4 linked regions of the Oryzias latipes genome follow. The protein of the gene in region 3 binds, or shares a complex with, the protein of the main gene of each other region. Links are inferred from orthologs where the notes say so. Each region holds a gene or a part of one and is shown on either strand. Other genes may lie near its edges.

The links.
Region 1: the proteins of ints11 (region 3) and wdr73 are in contact, whole or in part, in a cryo-EM structure (PDB 8R22), measured with the Homo sapiens proteins. The link is inferred for Oryzias latipes from reciprocal best matches to the Homo sapiens genes INTS11 and WDR73. Residues at the interface, in NP_060341.2 of Homo sapiens: Tyr206, Thr208, Thr209, Ile210, Arg211, Asp212, Ser213, Arg215, Cys216, Arg217, Glu218, Arg219, Asp220, Leu222, Lys223, Lys224, His226, Phe255, Arg258, Met259, Leu364, Val384, Glu385, Tyr386, Ser388, Lys418, Lys419, Glu421, Phe422, Gln425; in NP_116245.2 of Homo sapiens: Asp5, Asp6, Leu8, Val9, Ser11, Leu12, Tyr15, Gln16, Phe18, Tyr19, Ala20, Phe21, Asp22, Leu23, Glu50, Leu52, Arg59, Leu68, Phe69, Pro70, Glu71, Arg72, Asp73, Phe74, Lys75, Val76, Gly79, Phe81, Asp116, Ser117.
Region 2: the proteins of ints11 (region 3) and ints4 are in contact, whole or in part, in a cryo-EM structure (PDB 7BFP), measured with the Homo sapiens proteins. The link is inferred for Oryzias latipes from reciprocal best matches to the Homo sapiens genes INTS11 and INTS4. Residues at the interface, in NP_060341.2 of Homo sapiens: Pro183, Trp191, Lys194, Asp212, Gln288, Gln400, Gln404, Lys462, Met465, Ala466, Leu469; in NP_291025.3 of Homo sapiens: Leu159, Asp161, Thr162, Arg167, Tyr203, Gln207, Asp244, Ser292, Gly294, Trp296, Arg299, Lys323, Met326, Ser327, Asp328.
Region 4: the proteins of ints11 (region 3) and brat1 are in contact, whole or in part, in a cryo-EM structure (PDB 8UIB), measured with the Homo sapiens proteins. The link is inferred for Oryzias latipes from reciprocal best matches to the Homo sapiens genes INTS11 and BRAT1. Residues at the interface, in NP_060341.2 of Homo sapiens: Leu9, Val15, Gly16, Lys27, Met35, His36, Met37, Gly38, Phe39, Arg43, Asp47, Tyr50, Thr58, Asp59, Asp62, His70, Leu71, Asp72, His73, Asp87, Gly88, Gln97, Pro101, Ile102, Glu105, Arg108, Lys109, Val112, Asp113, Lys114; in NP_689956.2 of Homo sapiens: Asp25, Thr27, Cys28, Glu30, Lys31, Asp34, Pro117, Ser156, Ser157, Leu158, Phe159, Ser162, Lys358, Ser359, Cys366, Arg367, Arg424, Arg427, Thr465, Lys468, Lys469, Trp514, Glu515, Asp518, Ser519, Glu522, Tyr560, Ser564, Ser604, Glu605.

Annotation. Positions count from the first base shown.
Region 1 is NC_019874.2:25,858,696-25,863,017, forward strand, and holds the start of wdr73 (WD repeat-containing protein 73), read right to left. Parts: upstream 2,826-4,322; 5' UTR 2,627-2,825; coding exon 2,568-2,626; intron 2,269-2,567; coding exon 2,201-2,268; intron 2,014-2,200; coding exon 1,928-2,013; intron 1,844-1,927; coding exon 1,755-1,843; intron 1,542-1,754; coding exon of another isoform or gene 1,538-1,541; coding exon 1,470-1,537; intron 394-1,469; coding exon 229-393; intron 130-228; coding exon 1-129. UniProt on the Homo sapiens protein: Component of a multiprotein complex required for the assembly of the RNA endonuclease module of the integrator complex. Associates with INTS9 and INTS11 in the cytoplasm, stabilizing the INTS9-INTS11 heterodimer and blocking the active site of INTS11.
Region 2 is NC_019871.2:2,461,041-2,465,336, reverse strand, and holds the start of ints4 (integrator complex subunit 4), read right to left. Parts: upstream 2,844-4,296; 5' UTR 2,766-2,843; coding exon 2,712-2,765; intron 1,814-2,711; coding exon 1,619-1,813; intron 1,283-1,618; coding exon 1,165-1,282; intron 1,055-1,164; coding exon 948-1,054; intron 770-947; coding exon 655-769; intron 537-654; coding exon 451-536; intron 346-450; coding exon 295-345; intron 1-294. Other genes in the region: uncharacterized protein LOC105355351, read right to left, coding at 3,602-3,953, 4,257-4,296. UniProt on the Homo sapiens protein: Component of the integrator complex, a multiprotein complex that terminates RNA polymerase II (Pol II) transcription in the promoter-proximal region of genes.
Region 3 is NC_019865.2:23,495,732-23,498,781, reverse strand, and holds the end of ints11 (integrator complex subunit 11), read right to left. Parts: intron 2,424-3,050; coding exon 2,294-2,423; intron 817-2,293; coding exon 757-816; 3' UTR 532-756; downstream 1-531. Other genes in the region: lysophosphatidic acid receptor 4-like, read left to right, coding at 1-288.
Region 4 is NC_019859.2:21,374,028-21,378,265, forward strand, and holds the start of brat1 (BRCA1-associated ATM activator 1), read right to left. Parts: upstream 2,809-4,238; 5' UTR 2,277-2,808; coding exon 2,150-2,276; intron 1,330-2,149; coding exon 1,181-1,329; intron 1,096-1,180; coding exon 948-1,095; intron 19-947; coding exon 1-18. Other genes in the region: eif3b (eukaryotic translation initiation factor 3 subunit B), read left to right, coding at 2,819-2,921. UniProt on the Homo sapiens protein: Component of a multiprotein complex required for the assembly of the RNA endonuclease module of the integrator complex.

The sequences.
Region 1 (4,322 bases), on a different chromosome or scaffold from region 3:
GAGGTGACATCTGAGGAGCGGCGGACACTCGGGTGTCAGCCATGTAAATTCTCCCGTTGGAGCATCCGGCGAGGAAAACCGCATCACTCGTGAACTGTAAGGAGTTCAGAGGATCTGAAGTGTCGGTCTCTGTTTAAGGGAAAAATGGAAGGGAAAAATCAGTTTGATTTTCTACAAACCTTGATGCATGAATGTATTTTGTTTACATTCCAGTTTCCACAGTTTGACCTAATTTATAAAGGGATTGTCCTGAAGTCAGCTGAGTCAGCTGGACACTGCCGCTCTCTGCTCCATGAAGGACTTGAGGCGATGAAGACGGTGAAGCTGCAATCCTGCTTCCACACTGTTGGGCGCTTTCCCTCCCTTTGACAGTTCCTGTTCTTCTGATCACGTCTGCAGATGGAAGAAGAGACGCAGCAGACAGCCAATCACCGTCGGAGAAGGAACTAAACTCAAACTTTCAGACACAGATTTTAACGTCTTAAAAGAACGGTAATGCGGCCCGGACGTTGACGCATTTCGCACATGCAACCGGTACGGTTTGGATACCCTCACCTGCCTTTCTCTGCAACTCTGATCAAATTTGTTGAAGAATGGAGAAAAGCATGTATAATGGATGTAATGCCTCAGCGCCCCCCCAAGGGAGGCACGCCCCACAGTTTGAGAACATACAAAGTTAATGATCCTTTATTTAATTTATTTCTACTTTGTATAAAAAGGATCATTCACTTTATTCCTTTTTTTCTTTGCCAGGATTCTTTCTCAAATATTTCCCAGACAACAGATCTCAATACGACTGGCTGAGAGATCCGTTTCACGCAGCAGCAGCTGCTGGTTTGAGCTCTGCTGAGGAGGATCAGTTCATTGAAATCACGTCAGACTCCCCCCTGAGGATGAGGTTTACAGCACAGATACTCCCTGAGTTCTGGCTGGGTGTGGAGAGGGAGCATCCACTCATGGGGCAGAAGACTTTGGGCGTTCTGCTTCCATTCTACGTCCTATCTTTGTGAGATCGACTTTTCTGCTGTTGCCACTTGGAAAATAAAGAACAGAGCTAGGCTCAATATTGAGCAGGACTCGAGAGTCGAAGTAAGAAAACCTGCAACCTCGTCTTGAAAAGATTTGTGGCACAAAGCAGGCACATTGAAGCCATTAACACAAGTTTTTGCACATAGGTTCAATGTTATTGTTCTTCAAAGTAATTAATCCTTCATTTAATTTGTTTATATTCTCTAGCAGCAGGAATGTTTAAGATTTTGATATGGTATTAAAGTTTAATATATCTGGCTTATTTTGTCAGAGTTTTTCTCAGGGAAGGAGGGGAAATGAAGATTTTTCCTCCTCCAAAGGAGGATGAGTACGTCAGTGGCAGTATTGGAAATGTTTAACCCTTTTAAGTTTAATGAGAAACTAAATTTTTAAACTTTTAAATTCACGCTACAAGAGAGAATATTTAACATAAATCTCACCACTGTCATCTCCTCCAAGGTCCCACACCTGCAGGTCAGTCCCCTGTCCATCATTGGTCACAATCAGTCTGCCTCAAAAGAAAGAAGTAGTCACCTTTATTAATTCAACTCCTCATGAAGTTTGTTTGGTGTGAGGAAAGTCACACATTCAGAGTCTGATTCAAAACTCCAAACTAGTTCAATGCTAGTTTTTCCAGAAATCAAAAACCCATTTCAGAAAACAGTTCAGGTTTGAGCAGGAGGAAGAAAAACTGACTGTCTGAGAAGACAGATGTTTGAGCTCACCTGGATGCTGGGATATGTCTGAGGCAGCCAACTGGCCCGTCTGAGAAACCACCATGGAGAAGTTTGAAATCCCGCTCTGCACAGAGACCCTGAACTCAGCAAATGGGACAAAAGTTCAGAGACAGCTGGAAACGGCGCTTCACTATAAAAGCTTTTGTCTTCTTCACTGTTACCTTGTTTTCTTCTGCAAAAAGCTTGAGTGGTAATCGAAGCTCCAAGAGCTGGTTTTTGGAGGAACCGTATCCCGCCACGCAAACGGCTGAAACGAACGGAGAGAAGAAGAAAAAAGAGCCAGACCAGCCTGTGAGCAGTGAAAGTCCTTTAACTTTGTCAATGCTGTAAAACATAATTTAGATTTTTTTAAAATACTCATTGTTGCAGCAAAAAGTAATATTTTAAGTAGAAAATGCTTTTTTGCATAAACGCACTCCCTGTTTTCCACTCACTTTTCCCAGATGTCCACTCGATGACCTGGGTGGGATGCTCCAGCTGATAAACATGGAGATCTTTGTACCTGCAGGAAGGAAACACAGACATCTGTAGATACATCATCAGCCCTGCAGGAAAATGTGCGAGTGTGTGTCTACAGTTCAGACATTGCTCCCCATTTGATGTTTTTGGAATATGCTTCAATCCCATTTTTAAATCTACACTTTAACACATTTTATGGAGACTGTGAGTCAAAGATACTTGTTTCAAGGTCTGTTTGTTTCAAATCCTCTCTAGGATTTTAGAAAAAATATTTTCATGGATTTTATTTTATGAAACGACTTTTAAACATGATGACAGAATGCAGATGGGAAGTTTGCTCACGCTGTCAAGGATTCTATAAACCATTCATCCAAAACATCCTCAAACTCCGAGGCTTCCATCTCTCCGCTGCAGGAAAATCCGCGCTTCCGGAGTCTGTCTGCGGCTTTCACTCTTCTGTGAACTCGATACTGACACCTGCTGGCAAGGAGGGTTACTGCATCCACGTTGCAAACCTAAAGGATTTTTTTTTTCATTTTCCAAACACAATACAGTAATCAAAATGTCTTCGAACAAATCAATGTGTTAACAAATGTTAACAATATGTTGTTACAAAGTAGTCAATCCAACATAAAACAATGAAATGAAATAAAAAAGGATAATTAAAATAAAAATAAAAAATAAGAGACTGCTAAATAAAAATACTAAAATAAACATGTTTGTAAACTTCTTATCAATAAGGATACCCCCCTCCCCAATGAAAATCATATTTTGATTTTAATTAAGATATTCTAATTTGATGAAAATAAATGTATTGGAATTGATCTAATAACCAGCAAAAATTCTTTCTGAGGCACTGTGATGTTGTATTGACTTAGGAAATGATTCTATGAAAGCCTAAAATCAAGTTCTTATCTCACTTTTTTTTAGATTTAAATTATTCAGGTGAGTATTCAAAATTAAAAACTGGGTATTCTTTATCAGATAATGACATCTAATTGGGAGAAATCTAATCAATATATATTTCAGTAATTGTATTTATTGTGATTCTCAACCTCAAATTTAGTCAATCTTTAGATTTTGGATAACCCAGCTTTAAATTAATAATATTTCTGACAAGTTTAATAGTTTAATAGTCCAATGTTTAATTCTTAGTGGGCCGGGCAATTTTTTTTCTACTTTACAATTTTCTCAATTAATTTATCTTTAAAATGATCTCTTGTTGCAATGCTTTTAAGTACAACCCCAGCTTCTCTTTTCGCAAATACATTTTTGATTATGTCACACAATAATCTAATTTCTCTGCTGCAGAAATCACAACCAATTTTAGATCAAACAGTTTTATATAATAATAATAATAATGGATTGGATTTATCTGTGCTTTTCAAGTCACTCAAAGCGCTTTCATACTCTATATGTTTTATGACAAAACATGTAGAGTGTATAAATCTACAAACAAAGCAAAAATAGGGTGAAAACATAGTGGAAAATGTAAAAATAAAAAATAAAAAAAGGCGTAGATCCATGAAGTGTATCCAAAGTTTATCCAAAGGATATCACAATAATGTGTCACAACAGCCGATGTGATTGTCCAATTCACCGGTGAGTTCAGAGACTGGGGTTCAACGTCTTTTATCTGTCTTTGAGGAGGGAACACCTGGGCTCATTGTCCCTCCTCAGAAAGGAAACATCAGTTTCGACAGGAGTTTTTGAGTTTTAAGTATACCAGTCACTGTTGCTGCTCCTTATGGACCAGTGACAGTTTCCTGCCCACGCCGCGCCGCAATCCATCGCCACAGCTGTTATTTTCCTTTTCTTCCTCCTCCTCTTCAGCAGCTCTGTCATTCTCCTCTTCCTGGATTCTGACAGATGAGAAACGGAGTCAGGTTTGCTGAGGCCGTCTAAAACCCAGCAGTTCCGGTTCAGGCAAGACTTTCAGCTGCATGTATGGTAACCTGAGGCTCCAGAGCCTCACAGCTCTCTTATCCCTCTATTGTGGCTCTTTGGAATTGAAGAAAAATAATAACCATTTGAATAAATAATAGGTTAATTTGTGAAGTTATCTTCTGTTGCTCTTCAAATGAAACGTTCAATTAT
Region 2 (4,296 bases), on a different chromosome or scaffold from region 3:
CCAATTTACTAAATACACCCAGGTAAAAAAATAAATAAATCAAAAACCCCTACGTCTTTGAACTACATATGTTTTTATATGGGCCCGGCCTCTGACTGGCTGGAAAGGTGCAACACTTAAAAAATAATTAGTATCTTAAAACTAGTTGTTAAATAAAGAAATAAACATATTTTTCAGCTGTGAGTGAAACCTAGTAATCTGAAATCTCTTCACTGATTCCATGTTTTCTGTTCCAAAGCATCAAATCCCTCAGAATCTGACCTAAATGTGAAAACTATAAACCTGAGCTCCTACCTGCTCATAGATGATCTGATGGATCTTCATTCCTCTCTCGTGAAGCTGCAGCTGAAACAAACAAAGTCTTCAGATTAGTTATGCACTTCGTGGGATCTTTGTTCAGCGTCCGGTGTGGAGGTTTTTGGCAGGTAAAGATGCTCCGCTGTGACCTACCATGGCCTTCAGGGCTGCGGTGCGGACTCTGGGGTCCTGGTCTGCGAAGTAATCGCTGATGATGGTCTGAACTTCTCTCACAGCTCCTGTTGTTCAAGTCAAAGGCATAATAAGAACCCATCCTGACCCAAACGGCTGTCATGTTATGCTTCAGAAGAAAAGCTCTGAACAGCCTGCAGAGTTTCCTCTTTAAGACATTCAGACCTGAAGACGAGCTCGATCCCTCGCCGTCTTTAAGCAGAGGAGCGTCCGCCACGCCAAGACCTCCCAGCAGCTGCAGACATTTGTTCCTCACCCCGAAGTGCGTATCAGACAGATGCTGCAGAGGAGACGACCACAACTATCAGATGCTGGAATGTGTGTATGTAAATGCATGAGTATGAGTGCGTGCATCGGTGTGTGTGTGTGTGTTCTTTTTATATATGTAAATGTCTGTGAGTGCATCTGCATTTGCGTGTGCTTGTGTGCCCGTGAGTGTGTGTTTGTGTGTGTGCTACCTTGCAGGCCACCTCGGTCAGCCTCAGTCTGACTGCAGGACTCTCTGGCAGTTGAGTCCCGATGACCAGCAGAGTGCCCAACAGCTGAGCGAGGACTTGATGGGAGTCTGTCCACAGAGACAGTAAAGGGTCTTTGAACGCAACATGAAGCCACAAAGGCCGACAGAGAGGACAGTTGAGGTCTGATGAAAATAAAAAGGGATGGAGTGTGTCTCACTCTCATTGCTGAGGGTGTTGATGGCGTCATCAAAGATGCAGTCCGGGCTGAAGCCCCGGGTTTTGGACAGCAGACCGAGCAGAGAAGCGATCTTCAGCCTCACAGAGTTGTCGTTTTCCTGACATGAGACACATTGGCGTGACGCATTTCTCGGTTCAAACAAAGGTGTCGAGTTCTAATATTCAGAAACTATCTAGAACTATTTAAACAATTGAAATGTTACAGTAAGAATAAAAAGTAACGCCTCTATAAAATTAAAAGCAACTAGAACTTTCTTTTCACATTTTATACTAATAAACATTCAAATCTAAATCTTAGAAATCTATTTTCCAAAGAACGACCATTGCCCCGCCCACATCTCCAACATCCATTCATCATCTTGTCTTGTGGAATCCTGCTCAGGGTCATAGCGGCTCTAAAAATCACATTGTTGCTGATCATTATCATCGTTTACCTTGTAGTAGTGCTCGAGCAGGATCCGGATCACGCCCTCCACGCTCTCCGCCTCCACGGGCTTGCGTGCGAACTGCAGCAGGTACTGCAGCGCGTCGGTGGAGTTGGTGGCTTTGCAGAGGTCAACGTGCAGCGCAGCAGACTTGCTGGGTTTGGACAGACGCAGCTTCTTGGCCGGAGCTTCTTCATGAGGAATCTGAAAACACGATGACAGTGAAGATTATTTATGCAAAAAAAAACAAAAAAAAAAACATAGAAAACGTTTCAATCTTTATTTAAATGATTAAAGGTTATTACAAAAAATGCAAAGACAGGATCAATGTTTATGATTTTTTAAAATATATTCAACATGTGTTATTACCACCTAAACATCCTTTCCTACTCAACATCTGAGAACAATTTAATTAAAAAGAGTTAGATTCTTTTCATAAAATCTGCTTTATAAAGATACTCAAAAACTTTAAAAAACAAAAACAGTTCCCCTCTGAATCTGATGAGCTTTTCACATATAGCCATGAACAGGATTCACAGAGCAACCAGTTAAAGTATAAAGTCACATTTCTGCAACATTTTAAATCAAAATAGAATCTGTTTTAATGAATATGTGGGTATGTTGTTAATGAATAGAATGGATTTCTGTCTTACTAGTTCCTGAACATACAGGAAAAAACCTGGCTGATAGAGATGACCACCAATATCTGAACCACGTCTGATTCCCAAGTTAATGGGCCTTAAAAAGAGTTAAATTTTAGGAGAAAACACATAAAAGTCCGAGGACATCTGAAAGCACCGCTGAACGACTGCTATAGCTATATCAGATGCTAACCACTTTAGCTAGGCTGCAATTGGCCAAATATTTGTGACATTAAAGAAAGTCAGCTCCACAACTTGACCTTAAATGAAGTCACCAAACATGTACAAACTCTAATGTGTGTTGAGTTGTTGAAGCTGCAACGGGTTCCTGTTGCTGTTCAGTCAGCTAATCAGTTAGCATGCGCAAACGGTCCTGTTAGCTTGAAAGCGCAGTTTTTAGCTTCATATTAAGGTCTTGCGCACAAAAACAAGCTGACGAACAAAACAATTATAACGTTTACCTGAACGACTTTTGAAAATTCCTCGTACACTCGCTTCTTCAAATGTGCTGCCATGTTTCAGTAGGTACGCACAGACAATTCTTTCCTCAAAACGCAGAATTGTCCCCTTACACTTTCCGTAGCTGTGAAAATGCATTGTTTTCCTACGGAAGCCGGGAGTGGAGAACTCAGGGTAGTCCGCAGTCTATGAATGTCCAAGACACCCTTCAGTTTTTTCATAAAATATTAAAATATTTCTTTGGCCTATAAAAATAACTCCTTGTCTAGAAATATTAACTTTAGAATTAAATTAATTAATACGAATGAATACGAATAAATTAATGAATTATGTGCATTAAACATGAATATTTTAGAACAAGCCAAGAAATAGAACATCTTTGAAATCACCATAAAATATTTTAATTTGGAAAACAATAGCAAAATGTTTATAAAGCAACTTTAGAAGAACAATAAAATAAAAGCACTAATAGCCAAAAATCTGATGATATTTTTTATTGTTTGCATATAAAGATAAAAAAAAACAAGTATTTTTTTACAAATTTCCTCTGACTTGTATAAACATGTGTTCAAACAAATAAGTCACTTCAGTTAAGACAGTTAAATCCAGTAATCCGCGCTACCTTAAGAAAGACAGGGGTAGTATTTAACAACAAAATATTGAAACCATCTACAAATTTCTAAATTTAAACACATGATTCCATTATAGAGAGAATGAGGGCCTGTAAAGTTTTACACTGTTTACATTCAAATATCAAGTTTTTTTCTAGACAACTAAAAAAACAGTAAAATGTACTCAGATGAAAGCTGAAGTGCAGATTGTTAAGTTAGGAATAAAAGCTTAAGAGTGAAGAAAATGAATAGTGTCATTGGGAGAAACATCATCTCAAAGGTCAGTGATTGATTCCCATGGTGTCATGCTGCAGAGCAGCAGCTAACATCTTGTTCCTCTTTCTATCCGACACCCATGTGACCAATCCCACGATGCCGACCATGAGCGGCAGAGCCACACACAACACAATGCGGCTGATGGGCAGCCGGACGGAACACAAGCCGTCAGCAGGAGGCTGCAGAACACGGGCGGAGGAGGTGTTTTCAAACAAAAAGGAGGAGGTGAAGTCCCAATGAGTCTCTATTTCGCCTGGCTTGGTCTCCACCTGACACCTCCACCTCCTGCCGTTGTCCTCCTTCTGCAGATTCAGGACCAGCGTGGCGTTGCAGTGAGTTCTTTCAGTCAGTTGATGCCTGGAGGAGAAGCACGATCACAGCTGTGACTCTCATTTCAAAGCCTGAATTACAGATTTACTTTTTTTCTGCAGATAATCAAACTGATTCATTTCAATTTTAAGTCACACAAAAAAAGAAAACTTGAGAAATAAAAATTCAGTTCTCCTTAAGTTCAGGGATCCATACATTTGTTTTCTTTGAGCTCTAAAAGTCTATGTGCACCCCTAATTTATTTAAATATTCAACATAATCCAGGTTTATGCTCAGTTTATTTTTTTTTGTTGTAAAGTATCAAAAGCAAAAGAATGTTTTCTTTCCAACCTGCTGTGATTGTCCATTTCTGTCCCCTCTTCTGCTAACC
Region 3 (3,050 bases):
GCCATCCTGGCCATCACGGTGCTCTGCTTCCTGCCCTACCACGTGATCTACCTGCTGCACCTCCTGCAGCGCATGGACATCATTCAGAACTGCTCCGCCCGCAATGCCATCTACAACGCGCGGCGGGTTACCATGGCGCTCGTCACCCTCAACACGTGCCTGGATCCTGTCCTCTACTACATGACCACCAACCACTTCAGCTGGAAGGCTTTGAAGACAACGTGGCTGTGGGGGATGGTGAGCAGGAGGAGGGGCATCTACACCATCACCATCAGTGAGGGGCAATGACCAGGGAGCAACACTGACTTCTGAATCAAATCACATTTCAAAATAAAAGTTATTGGAACCAAGGGTAGTTCATCAAATAACCACTAGGTGGTAGATAACACAAAGTTCACGTCAGAGAGGCTTGTTTGTCCCGCCTATTCGCACAATTATGGAAACACAAAATCACGGGGGGGGGAGGGGCATCACCATTAATCATGTAAGAACAGCACTGTAAACCTTTCTAAAGGAATCAAAAAGTAGATATAATATAAAAAGAAGCGTTTAATAATGGTGACTTTTCAAAATAAAACAATTTCTGCCTCTAAATTGTTTAATCCACCCATACAGGGAGACAAGCTTGTTTACAAAGGAAGAGCAATGGATTGATGTTATTTACATTGAAGAAGTCAAGTTTTTGGGTGCCAGTTAGGCGTTTGTAGCCTTTAAGAAGAAGAAAAACAAAAAGAACTCAAGACGTTTACTTTCTTGTCACATTTTTGGAAGTCCCTTTTTCAGCACCGATGAGAGAAAACTCCCGAGGTCTTCATCCTGGTGAGAGAAATGCAGTTCTTCTTGAAACCCATACAAAAATGTAAATACACATTAATTAAAACCACAAGTGGCGTTCCCAACAGACCATTTCTTTCAAAATAGCAGCTGATTTGTTGGTTTTAGCTCCATAGCAACAGTTTTACTTTTGGGTTGTTTGAAGGTGACAAAGAGGTTTATGTGACTGATAGAAGAATTGGCAAAAGTACATTTTTGATTTTTTTTTGTCCACATTCCTAATAAATTCATTAGAAAATATACATAGAGAAATACTTAGAAATCCAGATTTTAATGTAACTTTCTGTATATATGCCCTCCATCATGCTACAAGAACAGAACAAAAACACCAAAAACACAATCTTCATTAGAGTGGCTATTTAAAAACACTGTTAAACCACAGAGCTAGCAGAGGAAAAACATTCAAAGACACAAAGGCCTGTATGTGTTTGCTTTTCATGCCATCAGTGCTCTGCATGGAACACTTGTAGCCACAGAAAGTGTCGTCTTTCCACTGTGGGTGACAGAGATTGCACACAAACCAATGGTTTTATAGCTTCTGACAGAGCCACCTGCCTTAAAGGAAGTCTGTGCGATCAGGAAAAGCGGCGTCATCTCCTTACCGAGAAGGATGCCCAGTTTAGCTTAGTCTGTTTAGTTGAGCTTAACCATTACCTATTGAATGCTACGACTGATTTCATGTTCTTCTACAATTAAAGGTATGAAGCCCATTAGGACGACGATTGTTGTAATATTGGGCCATATAAATAAAATTTAATTGAATTGGATTGGATTGGACATCCCCTCAGTTTAATTTGTTTCCCCAATACACAGTGTCATCACTGAGAAAAACTTCTCATCAATTTTATATAAATTACTGAAACATTCCAGCTGAAAACCATAACTGTTTAGAATGTGCAGCAGGTCAACCCTGGTCAATAAAACGTTTTATTTAATTGAGGGTCGACAACAACGTGTTGGACGTCCCCTGTCCTCTGAAAGGGAGCTTGGGAGAAGTTGTCAATCATTTGTTTTGAATATTTCAGGTGGGGGCCAGTAGGCGCCATTGTGCGTTTATTGAGCCATCTGATTGGCCAGTTTATGACTAGAGTAACTTGCAGTAAAGAAATATCGTGGAATAAAATAAGAGTAGCAAGAACATGTAAAAAAAAAGAAAAGGTATAGAACGACTGAGTAACAGCTGTTTATTTCTCTACAGAAGTCTGTGGGATTTTGGCTTTTTGGAACTTCTTCCTGTTTGGAACAAAAGGGGGGGGTTACTCAGCCCAGTTCTCATTTACAGTCAATGATCCCAAAGAGGAACCCCCCCACTGGACTTCTTGTCTTTATAAACTAAATCATGACACTTTTTGAACTTTTTTCATACATGAATCAACTTTTTTCTTTTTATGTTGCTTCACTGAAAGAAACAGAGTAAATCAAATGAGATGGTTACGGTAAACGGCTGATGTTCAGGTACCTGATAACTCCAGGAAAGCAGCAGGATTTTGGCGTTTGCGTCTTCGGCGGATGAGGAGACTTTAATGACGATGGACTCCACCATGACCGTGCCGTCAGGGAGGTGCTGGATGGTGTAACCTTTTAACAGGCTGAGGGAAACGATTACAGAATGTTATTCTGCAAACAAACTTTTTCCAACCAGACTCTAAATTACATTCACAGCTAAAATGTAAGAATTTTAAGCTCAAGAAATTAAAAAAGGAACAAAATCAGCTGCTATAAATGGCTAATGCTTTCCTTTTCTGTGTTTTTCTTTGGACATACAACCCAAATGCTGCTTTTGATGACTCCAGGGAAAACTATTTATTCCAAATTGGAGAGTGTCTTTAGGACTGATGTGCAGCAGATTCCATGCAAAGCTTCACAACTGCTTCTGGCAGCTTGTCTTCACTTATTCCTGATTAAAACAGCTTCCAGTTCTCAGGTTTTTCAGGACCAAAACGTTTTTTTCCTCTTCCATTAGACATTTTCAGTGAGCCTCAGGAAGGACAGGTTTGCTGGCTGTAACTTAGAACTCTCCAGGATTTTCTTTGGAACCAGGTGGGGAAACATCTCCAGCGTTTACATTCTTTTGACTACCATAACTCTTCAACCCTTGATGCAATTAAGATGGGTGTCACGATTCATTTTAACAATGATTAGATTCTTATCTGTGGTTGAAGATACGATTCATAGTCGATATCGGTTCATTCTGAAAGATCCTATTCAATTCGATC
Region 4 (4,238 bases), on a different chromosome or scaffold from region 3:
GGAGGGGCTTGATGGAGTCTAAGGAAAGAAGCATTAAAGGGAGATGATGACACTACCAGAAGTACAAGATGGTATCAAGTTATAAGATCTGTAGTTCCAACTGTTTCCTGCTGCAACATGACGCAGTATAGTTATATCAACTATATATGATAACTGGATTGAGTTCACAGGAAGTACCCACTGGCTCCAAGGAGCCAAAATCCCACAATTGTCTATTGAAAAATAAACAGCTATTGGACATTTTTTGGCGTATAAGGCGCGTTTTATTTTTTATTTTTTTTGCATAATTGGCCGGGGATGTGACTTCTACGTGATTTTTTTTAACCCTTGTTTTAACCCTTGTGCCTAGGATAGCACAAGGGTTAAATAAATATGCTTGTGTATTTCTTCTTTTTCCACTAACAGCCACTAGAGGGCAGTGTAGGTGTGTATCAGTATTTGCTACTGACAGCAACGCTAAAGAAGTAGGGCCGCTCAGTCTACGGCGGGCTTGGGCAGAATTATTCCAAAGTGACACAGATAATGAAGAATTCAACAGATTTAGTGATTTTAAGTGATATAGTGAGTTTAGTTGATTTTTTAGTGCGCTCTTTATGTTATGGTTATCTGAACGATTGTTCAATATACTAGATTATTCAATTCCTCCAATGTCTCATGAAGCTACGTGTTACAGTAGTGAAGCGTGTGCATATTTTCAGTCTATTTTTGTTGTCTATTTCATCCCTATGATTTGTCTTTCAGGATGAAATTTCAGTTCTTGGTCGCGTATTTTGTAAAATAAATTTCTCCCAAAAAAGTGCAACTTCTACTCTAGTGCAACTTATATGTGAATTTGTTATTATTATCTTATAGTATCTTATTTACTATGCACCAGAGTGACTTTTAGCCCAAAAATTGTCACGGTCATTACATGTTTGGAAGAGAGCTCAGCTTTTATGACGAGTTACCTGCTTGAACAAAGAAACTGAAAGCCTGTCTGTGCTGCAGCATTGTGCTGAAGCCCTGAATCCAGCCGATGCGGACGCAAGGATCATCCCAAAGTCCATCTTCACGCCAGTGCTGAGGGTTAAAGGCGAGGTCCAGGACAGAGTTCGCCTGTGGGGGCGAGAGCATCATCATCATTATCAGTGTTGTGGATGGCTGTGTGATGTTGGTGAAATGCAGGAGATATGAGGCCTACCTGGAGAGCTCTGAAGCCATCCTCAGCAGCAGCCACTAAACCAGTGAGTTTGAGGGCAAAGGAGATGATGCTGGACTCTGCAGCTCTGCTGGAAACTACAGTTGATATGAAGCCCTGCAGACATGGGTTGACCTCCAGCAGAGACACGCCTTCAACAGGAGGAGACACAGTCAAAGAGTGTGATAACAGAAACATTCAAGACCCACTCCAGTGAAAATAGTGTTTTGGGGTTTTTTAACGTGTTGTTGTAGTAATTTTCTTATGATGGAACACATATATAAACAAAAGAAAACTAAAATGGCATTTTTTGAGTATATCTTTATTCAAATCGTTGTGAATCAGGAGCACACAAAATGTCGTTAGAGAAAGCTATCTTTTGAAACACAGTAAGTGAGATGGGTGGGCTACAAGCTCCCTGCTCTGCTCCATTGATGCATCCACATGCAGACAAAGAAATCCATGTCTATCTGGATCAAAATTGTATGCCTGGAAATGGATAGCTTTAATATTGCTCGCTATTATTGTTTCACAGATAATGTTAGGTTGGGGTTGTGAGGGGCTGTAAGCCACCAGAAGAGAGTGTTAACAAAGGGATGATGGGAAATCAGCAGAAGCTTACTTCCGCCAACTCAGATGCAAATTTCTAAGAGGTTTTGCTGCTTTGCAGAAACTATGTCCTTAAAAAAATAACAGTTTCCTTTAAAATTGTTACCAAAAAAGGCATAATCATAATTGAAAGACCACTGGGAAGTATTTTACAACTGATCAAAAGATGATTTTAATGGGACCTGAACTTCTACTTCTCTTCATAAATAATTATTAAATGTACTTCAATTTTAAATTTCAAATATTTCCAGGAATTTATGTGCAAATTATATCCCGGCCAAATTGAATTCACATAAACAAAGAAAACTGCGCCAGACTGGCTGGGAAGAACTCGTAGTATGGGGAACAGCTCCCAGAACTAACCCGATTTGCTGAATGTTGTGAACCAGTCCAGCAGTTTTTCCAGGCTTGTATCATCGGGCAAAGAGCTTCTCGGGGCCGCCAGAACGTCACAGACCCGCGGCAGGAGAGACACACAGTCTCCATCCATACTGAAGAATGGCCGGGAAAACCCAACATACACCAAGTTTGGAGCTCACGTCACGATAACTAACTCAAACCTTCGAATCGTCGATATTGAAATTCATCAAAAGCGAAAATCATATAGCTAAACCAAAAAACCTTTATAAAAGTAAATGGATAAAAAGTGAATTACTTTCATGTGGCAATTTTGTAGTCAGTATTTGAGACATATTGCGAGTAACTCTAAAAAAGAAGTAGTTTTCAACAATTTACTGGCAGGTGACTCCCCTTATGTTGCTAGCAAAAGTAGCTTCTACTACCGTTCGATCTGTATTCATCTCGATGCAGTAAATCTAATTGAGCATTCGTTGTTGTCGCTCCTCCATTTGTTTTACAACTTTGCGATTTCACGATGGTCCGTAAACGCGCCTCTGACCCGCTTCCGGCGTCACGTTTCCGCCTCTTCGTCCATTTTCGCACATGGTGCCTCACCGGTCGTTCGTTGTTAGCCTCTCATTTTCCGGGATTTTGCGCCTCTGTAAAGGTTTTTCAGAACCGCAGTCCCATTAAATGCGAAATACAGTTGATATGGTGGACGACCCAGAGTATGAGGAGGAGGAGGAGCCTTCCTTCAGCGACCCGGAGGACTTCGTAGATGATGTCGAGGATGAGGGTAAGCGCTAGCAGGAAAAGCGCCGGCTGTAGGCCTATTGCTAACTGCTAGCTAAAAAGCTAGACGGACCGTTGCTTTTGACATATTTGCAGATGCTGTCAGTTTGACATTTTCTTTAGGCGAAAGAATGGACTAGTTAAGCCGTATTAGTCTCGACAGAGTTAATTGGAAGGTTTTATCAACCAAGAAACACACGAACAATCGGTTTTCTTGTCTATCATGATCATGAACGCCGTTCATTCAGTCATCATACCAGATGCTATACCGTCAGTTTTTAAGTCGATGAGTTAAAGGGGAAATTAGCATCTTTAGTTGTCTTTTAAGTCAATTTGACAAATATATAAATTGATGAATTTACGTCACTACTCTTGTCTTGTTGTGACATTTTGAAAGGTTTGAATTAAATATGCTCTTTTGTTATTTCACAATATACTTCATGGCATTAACAAAGCTCACATTTTTTTTTAACCACATAGAGACACAGCATCCAAATGGATTTCATATAATCTAGACTACTTAAAATTGTCTGGAGGATTATTTAAACTGAACTTGGGTGATTACATTTGCAGAAGTAATTTACAGATTAACCAAAGAACCTACCTCTTAAAGGAAGAAGTGAAGCAGATAGATCAGGGGTCTGCAAGCTTTAGTGCTGAAAGAAGCACATGATGGTCCAGTTTATTTTACACCAAAACCCAGTGAGAGCCTCACTTTTCTGTTTATTTTCTGTTTATGTTAAAAGAAAAAGAAGAAAAAAATCACATTTTTTGTGGCCATCAAGCCATTCATTCATAAAAAGTAGCTTTAAAAATTGGAATAATATAATTATAACAGTGTTACATTACTATTATATACCTTTTGACAGCAGCGCATACAAATTCCTTTCAAAATAAAATGCATCCGGTATAAAGTAAGATCTTGCTGCAAATGTACTGAAAGAACTTTGTCTTTGAACAGCAACTAAACAAAAGGTAAGAATATGAGTTTAAACTAATTCCAATTATAAACCACTCTGACAATAGATCCAACCCTTTGCCATTATTTTGGTTTGTTTTCTGATGTTTGCTATTTAGGGGAATGGTAAACCTTCCAGTGGCTGTTGATTTAGTTTAATATCACCATTGGTTAAAAAATGTATAAGTGAATTTTTATTTATGTAAGATTACCACAGTTTAAAAATCTAATAATAAATGAAAACACTTAAATATCAAGTCTATTATTTATTCAAATTGTTCTTCAAAGCCACAGAGCCACAATCGAGGGACAAAATGAAGCATTTTCTGTTAACCTAAACTTGTAAAAGACATTCCTAGTGAT